Elephas maximus indicus: one gene and its partner. Each later gene encodes a partner of the first gene's protein in a complex. Links are inferred from orthologs where the notes say so. Each region holds a gene or a part of one and is shown in the gene's direction. Other genes may lie near its edges.

Region 1 (3,752 bases):
CGAGAAAATTCAAGTAGTGAATAATTCCGAGGGAAAACGGACCACCTCTTCAGTAATTACAGAAACACAAATTAAAACAAGGCAAGACCTAGTAAGCCAGAAGACAAAGAGAAGCAGTATCTGAGGCTGTTCAGGTGGAGGCCAGTCTCTACGCAGTGCCGTCGAGTCGATTCCGACTCATAGCGACCCTATAGGCACCTTAAAGAAACGGAAGGGCAAATGCAAAGCCCCCAAGGCGAGAGCTCGGTGGAGAGACTGAGGGCTTCCGACCAGCGGCCGAGAACTGGGGTTTAGGAGTGAGAAGCGCGGGGGCAGGAGTCACCGCTCCAGCCTCCGGCCGCATCAGCCAGCGGCAGCCAAGGGCTGGCGTTCCAGCCAGGTGGGTCGGCGAGGGCCGAAAGCAGGACGCCAGGTGCCTGCGCGACTCTAGGCAACCGATAAGCCCGCCCACCCGAGAGGGAGCCTTCTCGTAATTGGCTCACGAATCCACCAATAGACGTACAGAGGCACTTCCCGCCGCCTCTGGCGCCCGCTTTCAAACAGCCGTACGTTTGCGACAGCTGGCGGACTTCTCAACCAAGCTTGAGGAGGGCGGGGACTTCCGCCTCTTCGCCCCGCCCCCAGTCGGCATGGGCCCGCGCACAGGGCGAACTTCTAGCCGGGATTGAAGGAGACGGCTGCTCCTCAAGGCCTCAGCGCCCCAGGGTTCGGTTGTCACCAGGAAGGCGCTCGCGGATGAGAGCCGGGGGAGAGGGGTTCGCCAGAAGCTGGTCTTCCGACAGGGCCGGAGTTTCCCCGCGGCGACGGCATCTGTGGCCTCTGGTGAGTTTCGCTTCGCGGCTAGCCTTGGGGCTGGGCTCAGAGGCGATCTGGTCGTCAGGGTCTGGGTGGAGGCTTGCCGGAGCTGAGCCCCCGGCCTCACCGCAGCGCCGGCTGTCGGCGGACGCGGGCTCAGCTCCTTGGAGCGTCACCCGCACCCCTTCTTCCCCGGGGCCCGCCGCTGGCCTCCCGCAGGCTGCAGGGCCCCCGGGACCCCGCCCGGTCGCCCCGCCGCGCCTGGCTCACAGAGGCGCTCTGTTCAGGCGCGCTGAGCGGGGCGTGTGACGCGGGCCCCGGGGCTGCGGCCTGGCGCGGCGGCCCCGTGCAGCGTCCGCCTGGCGCTCCTGTTGGCCGTGCCGTGGGCGGCGCCGCGCTGCGTCCCCGGTAAGGCTGCGCGCTCCTGCGGGGCCATTCATGGCTGCCTCCCTCGGGCTGCGGTGGCTGCCGCGTGCCAGGGCTGCTCGGCGGCCCCGCGGGCACCCGGAGTCCGTGCGTTCAGGCCGCTCTGTTAGCGCCCATCACCGAACACGGTCGTAGGTCGCCGCTGCTTTCTTCCCCTCGTTCGGAACAGGGACTGCCACCGACGTTTGGTAAACGATTGGTGAATGAGTGGGTAGGTCTGGTATTGCGAGGCTAAAACAGGCTGGTGCTCTCCAGGTATTTCCATTCTAGGAGAGAAGCTAGCAAGTGAATGGAATTTCCCGACTCCAGGGGCACGTCCTACAACCGCTCTTCGTGGCCCCTCACCCTTTCTATTTTATGGGCTTGAGTTTCAGGCTGAGTCAAGCCAAGTTTCCTCACCTCCCCACAAGAGTGGCAGTTTGTATACGCTCACTAGATAGGCGAATGCGCTCCACGAAGTAAGAGAAGCTGAAGTTGATACCGTAAGACAAGTAGAAATACAGTCTAAAAGTGCAAAAACAAAACAAAACCCGTTGTTGAATCAATTCCAACTCGTAGCGACCCTATAGGCAGGGTAGAACTGCCCCGTAGGGTTTCCAAGGCGCGCTAGCCACCGGGTTTTCTGAAAGTGCACAACTTTGGAGTGACTGATACCACGGGGGAGAAGGGCTGGGGGTGGCCTTTTCATCAGAGAGCAGGTCCTATTGTTTGAAGTAAGGTTTACCACAGGCTGCTCATTCATCTTTTTCCTAGATGTACTGAGGTTCTTGTTTGTTCCCATAACCTCTCCTACCCATCAGTAGCGATGTCTTAATAACAACAAAATCAATATGTATTGATTGGTACATGGTGTTAAGCACTTAATATACATTATCTTCAGCGTCATCATTACCATTCTTGAAGTGGGCACTATTTTTGCCTTCATTTCATTAGTTATGAAAGGGAAACAGTTTGCTCAAGTTTGCACAGCTGGTAAATGGAGGAGCCAGAATGAATGCCATCATTCTTAACCGTTTACACCCATTTTGTGTCCTTTAAGATCTACTTCTAATCTGAAGTTTCTTCTTTTGGGAAACATCTCTCAGCTTCCGTTCTTCAGAGGTAAAGATAGTTTGTGCTTTGTTCTTTGCTCTACTACAGAATTTATTACAATGTATCATTGTAACTCTTAGCGTCTATGCTTGTTTCCCTAAGACCTTGAGCTGTTCAGGGCTGGCGCCATGTCTTAGATGCGCCTGGGATATAACCCAACACTCCTTAGGTGTTCAAAAAAATTTTTTATAGAAATAATGAATCGCTACAGGTTAGCATTCATGTATCATATTTATTCAGCGGTTATCTGTGTGTGCCTAGGAGTCAGAATTGACAATATACACGGTGTGGGGTGGGGAGGGAGACAGATACATTTTAATTCTGCCTTCAGGATGCTTATAACAAGCTATTAAATGAGGCAAAAACAACGAAATTTTTGTTTCTAATGTTTTATCGACTAAACAAAGCCCTGGTGGCGCAGTAGTTAAGCATTTGGCTGCTAACCCAAAGGCTGGCAGTTGGAATCCACCAGCGACTCCTTGGAAATTCTATGGGGCAGCTCTCTGTCCTATAGGGTCACTATGAGTTGTGATCGACTTAATAAACACCTATTGGTGCTTCTTCTTATTGCAAGGAGGGCAAAGAAAATTTTTATAACTAGGGACAATGAAATAAATACTGGGCCAGAGTGTCACAAAAGGTTAGACATACTTTTTTAGAGTCTTGTTAATGAGTTCAGAAAAAGTTACCTACCTAGTAAGAAAGCCATAACAAGTCTACTATTAAAAATTTTTAAATAGCATCTTGATTTTTTTTTAATGGCCATCTCTTTGAATCAATAAATATTTAATTCATTGTTCTTACTAGTGGTATAAAGTATCTGCAAATTTATTTAAAATTAATATTACTAGTGCAAATGTTCATCTTCAATATATTATTGTTGATAGTTTTCAAGAAGGTTTTAGCAGGCCATACTTTCACCAGCAATTCATGAGAGTACCTAATTAACCACCACTTATTACCAGTTTATCTTTTTCAACCTAAAAAAAAGCCTGTTGCGGTTGAGTGGATTCCGAGTCATAGCGACCCTACAGGACAGAGTAAACTGCCCCAAAGAGTTTCCAAGGAGCGCCCAGTGGATTTAAACTGCGGACCTTTTGGTTAGCAGCACGTAGCACTTAACCACTTTGCCACCAGGGTTTCCTTTTTCAATCTAGTTGTTGAAAATGGTATTCCGTTGTTTAAATGAGCACTTGGTTGACTACTCCATGAGCTTAAGCATCTTTTCAAGTTAACTGAGCATTTACATTTCATTTTTTAATGAATTATCATGTTAGTTGCCCACTTTTAAGAAGGAGCCCTAGTGGTGCATCAGTTAAGTGCTCCGCTTTGTACCAAAATGTTCGCGATTGAAACCAACCAGCTGCTCCTCAGAGAAAGATGTGGTAGTCTGCATTTGGGTTGTTTATCTCCTTTCTTTGTGAGATTTCTTTGTGTAT
Region 2 (3,752 bases), on another chromosome or scaffold:
TTAAAAAATGCTAATATTTAGTACAGGAAGTACGAGGATGTGGCAAAATTCGGGAAGGACTGAAGTTGGGGAACCCTGAACTGATTGCTCCATGCGTGCAAGTCAGGACTGGGAACCACGTAAGAGTGGGTTAAAAACGGCGATTCCTTAGAAACACTTTAATCCTGAAAATAGAGACAGTAAATCTAGCTCGTGATGGGGTTTTTCTTGTGTCCCTGTAACATCAGGAGAGAAATATAAGGCTGTCAGAGACTAGTCTTTTTTTGTAATTAACAGTGCAGTACACTTCCATAAAGTAGTTTCCCCTGAGCACTTAGTTTTTGCGTCTGATTCCCTAAACCGATTTTTAAAGAAAGCTACTTTATTTCTTTAATAAAGCGATATTGTAGATTCCCATATTTGTACAGGTCCTTATAAATGCTCATGTTAGCATTTAGTTTTTATTTCATAGAGATGAAGAAAAAAACAATCCATTTTGGTGGAGTCAATCCCAACTCAGCGACCATATAGGATAGTAAAACTGCCTCACAGTTTCCAAGGAGCTTCAAACTTAAAACCTTTTGGTTAGCAGCTGAGCTCTTAACCACTGTGCCACCAAGGCTGTAGATGAAGAGGAAATCATGATAATGATCATCAACTACACTTTACCTTCAAATATTTACGTTTATACTTAAACCAAAACAAAACAAAAAAATGATCCAGTTCATCCCGACCCATGGCGACCTCATGTGTGTCAGAGTAGAACTGTTCTCTGCAGGATTTTCAATGGTTTATTTTTCAGAAGCAGGTTGCCAGGCCTTTTTTCTGAGGTGCGTCTGGATGGACTTGAGCCTCCAAACTTTCGGTTAGCAACCCAGCACATTAACCTTTGCACCACCCAGAGATTCCATACACTTAATAGCTAGAGCTTAATGATACAATAAAAAGTATATCTTTTCTTATGTGGAATACAATACTGTCTTTAATTTTTATCCTGAATTCAGAAGGTTTGAAAAAATTATTCATTCTTATAAATTTCCATTTGTTTCTCAAACTTGCTTGCTGCTTGCCTTTTGACTATGTCATTATCAGAGATAGGTATAATTTTAAAAAAGGCTTTAAACTAAAATGGATTAGAGATTTATAAACATTTGGATTGACACTGCCATTTAAAATGATGTAAATTCAGATGTAAAAAATTTGTGATAAGTATATATATTAATTGTACTGATGCCATTTTCCTCCACTTAAGAGGTAGAAGCCCTTAGCCTTATGGTGAGTAGTCCACTCTCTCATTAGATCATTCCTTTTTTTTCCAATGTTGACTTGTTCTGCCAAAGCCAATTATGACATAAGGTTTCAGGAATTGAATTTCTGATTTTTATGTTACTTACGGGTTTTTCCCTCCAAGAACAGAGGTTTCTTTTTTCGGTTTTACAAAACCATGATACTGTCATCACACCTACAAAATTAATAATTCTATAATGTCAATATCCAGGCAGGGTTCAGATTTCACCAACCATCCCATAAATGTCTTTACAGTTCGCTTGTTTGGATGAAAGTCTTGTAAAGATCTACCCACATGTTACATTTGGTTGATATACTTTTTAAGTCTGTTACAATCTTAGTAATTTGCTTTTCTCTTTCCCCTTTTTTCATTGCCATCTAGATTTAGCTGGTTGTAGCTATGTGGTATCCTTTAACTTGTACCTCTGTTATTTCTGCTAAACCATTAGATATAGAACTGCACTGTCCAATATGGTAACCACCAGCCAACTGTGGCTATTTAGATTAATTAAAATTAAAAATTTATTTCATTAGCTGCATTAGCCACATTTTAAGCCCAGTCGCCCATAATTTCCGTAATTGCATAAAGCTCTGTTGAAGAGCACTTACCTATAAGCTTGATCATATTCACCCTTGATTTTTTTCTTTTTTTGATGAGTGGGGGCAAGAATATTTTATAGGTGCTGCAGTGTACTTGCTATTGTATCATTGTCGGGGGGCAGGTAGTGTCTGAGTGGTCTCTTTTTGTGAACAGTGGGTTCAGGTGTTGTTAGCCCAATCCATTCATCATAAAAGCTCCTATGAGCGGTTCACCTGTTGGTAAAATACTTTTGTGGGTTAGATTTACTGTATCCATTATTGCGGTATTTTCTGTCAAGTTGATTCTGACTCATAGTAATCCTATAGGACAGAGTAGAACTGCCCCATAGGGCTTCCAAGGCTGTAATCTTTACAGAAGCAGACTGCCACATCTTTCTTCCATGGAGTAGTTGGTGGGTTCAAACTGCAGGCCCTTCAGTAAGTAGCCGAGCATTTAACCAACGCACCGCTAGGGCTCCTAATCATTGCATTGTTGTTGTTAGGTGCCATCCAGTCCTTCTAACTCATAGCGACCCTATGTACAACAGAACAAAACACTGTCTGATCCTATTATTATTGCATTAAAAAAAAAACCAAACCTGTTGCCATCGAGTCGATTTCGACTGATGGTGACCCTACAGGACAGGGTACAACTGCCCCATCAGAGTTTCCAGGGAATGCCTGGCGGATTCAAACTGCCGACCTTTTGGTTAGCAGCCATAGCACTTAACCGCTACGCCACCAAATTATTGCATTAGGGTTTGCAAAATGGTGATTTTGCAATTTTTTCATTATTTCTGTATTTATTAGGTGGAAATCTTTTATGAAGGATGACTTTCCCTCATCAGCTATTTGATTATCCTGACATACAGTTTGTACAGGAAAGGCGAGAAAAATGCTTACCTCTTTCCCTCTATTTTCAGACTACAGTAATGAGTCGGTGCCCTAGCAACTTCCAAAGGTAACCATGCAGGTTTTTGCTTTTTTTAATTTTTTATCATCATATACTCATAGATTTGAATATATTTTAACTGTTTTGACCTATTGGAATCATTGTTCTTTTCTTTGATAGTCAAATTGTACTATCTTTAACTAGCAGAAGTCCTTTTAAGTTGGCTCTTGTTCTTTTTGACATGACTCCAGTAGTCTCTGATAATTTTCTTGCTTCCTAGTAAAACATATTCCTGGTCATCTATACATTTCTGGCCTCCAAGGAGCCCTGGTTCCTTTTAGGTGGTCATTGGTTCTACGATTTACAGTAGCCAGAGCTAAAAGAGAAATGTACAGAGTTCACAATGACATTTCCAGTTTAATATTATAGATTTTTTTTTTAAATCATGTGTTTGATTTTATATTTGTATCTTTTTCTCTTGCTGAAAATCTTGGTACCTAATGTCATTAAATATTTCTTTTTTGCCTTATCCTATAATTATGTAATGGTTTCAAATTAACAATACCAATTATTGTTATTATTCATATTCATATAATTCATATAATTATATTATTATTCATATAATTCCCAAGTGGTGTTTAGGATTTCTTTGCAGTTCTTTTTTATCCTTAGTTTTTACTCCACTAGGGATATGTGCAATAAAATTATTTTATTAAAGGCATATGAAATAATTTAAATGGCAGGCTGCCAACTTGATATTTAGTTGATTCACTTATTTCATTTTGTTTCCAGCCTTTCAGTATTGCTTTTTAAAAATTTTGATTGGTTTTGTTATATGTAAAGCATTAATGTAGCTCCTATAAAACAAACCAAAAAAAAAAAAAAAAAACTCTTGCCACCTCGTGGGTTCCAGCTAATGGCAGCCCCCTGTGTTACAGAATAGAACTGTTCCATAGGGTTTTTGTTGCCTGTAATCTGCATGAAAGCAGATTGCAGGGCTTTTCTTCTGTGGTGC

The links. Proteins that work in one complex are often made in the same cells at the same time.
Region 2: the proteins of CEP152 (region 1) and CEP63 are in contact, whole or in part, in a crystal structure (PDB 6CSU), measured with the Homo sapiens proteins. The link is inferred for Elephas maximus indicus from reciprocal best matches to the Homo sapiens genes CEP152 and CEP63. Residues at the interface, in NP_001181927.1 of Homo sapiens: Gly1261, Ala1262, Glu1265, Leu1266, Gln1269, Tyr1270, Lys1272, Ala1273, Lys1276, Ile1277, Asp1280, Met1281, Tyr1284, Glu1287, Ser1288, Arg1291, Ala1292, Met1295, Ala1298, Arg1302; in NP_001340037.1 of Homo sapiens: Phe666, Glu669, Glu670, Arg673, Ile677, Arg680, Leu681, His684, Glu687, Leu688, Glu691, Ser692, Thr695, Phe699.

What each region holds. Positions count from the first base shown.
Region 1 is NC_064828.1:6,614,068-6,617,819, forward strand, and holds the start of CEP152 (centrosomal protein of 152 kDa), read left to right. Parts: upstream 1-741; 5' UTR 742-822; intron 823-3,752. UniProt on the Homo sapiens protein: Necessary for centrosome duplication; the function also seems to involve CEP63, CDK5RAP2 and WDR62 through a stepwise assembled complex at the centrosome that recruits CDK2 required for centriole duplication.
Region 2 is NC_064844.1:45,037,253-45,041,004, reverse strand, and holds the start of CEP63 (centrosomal protein of 63 kDa), read left to right. Parts: upstream 1-1,077; 5' UTR 1,078-2,675; coding exon 2,676-2,806; intron 2,807-3,752. UniProt on the Homo sapiens protein: Required for normal spindle assembly.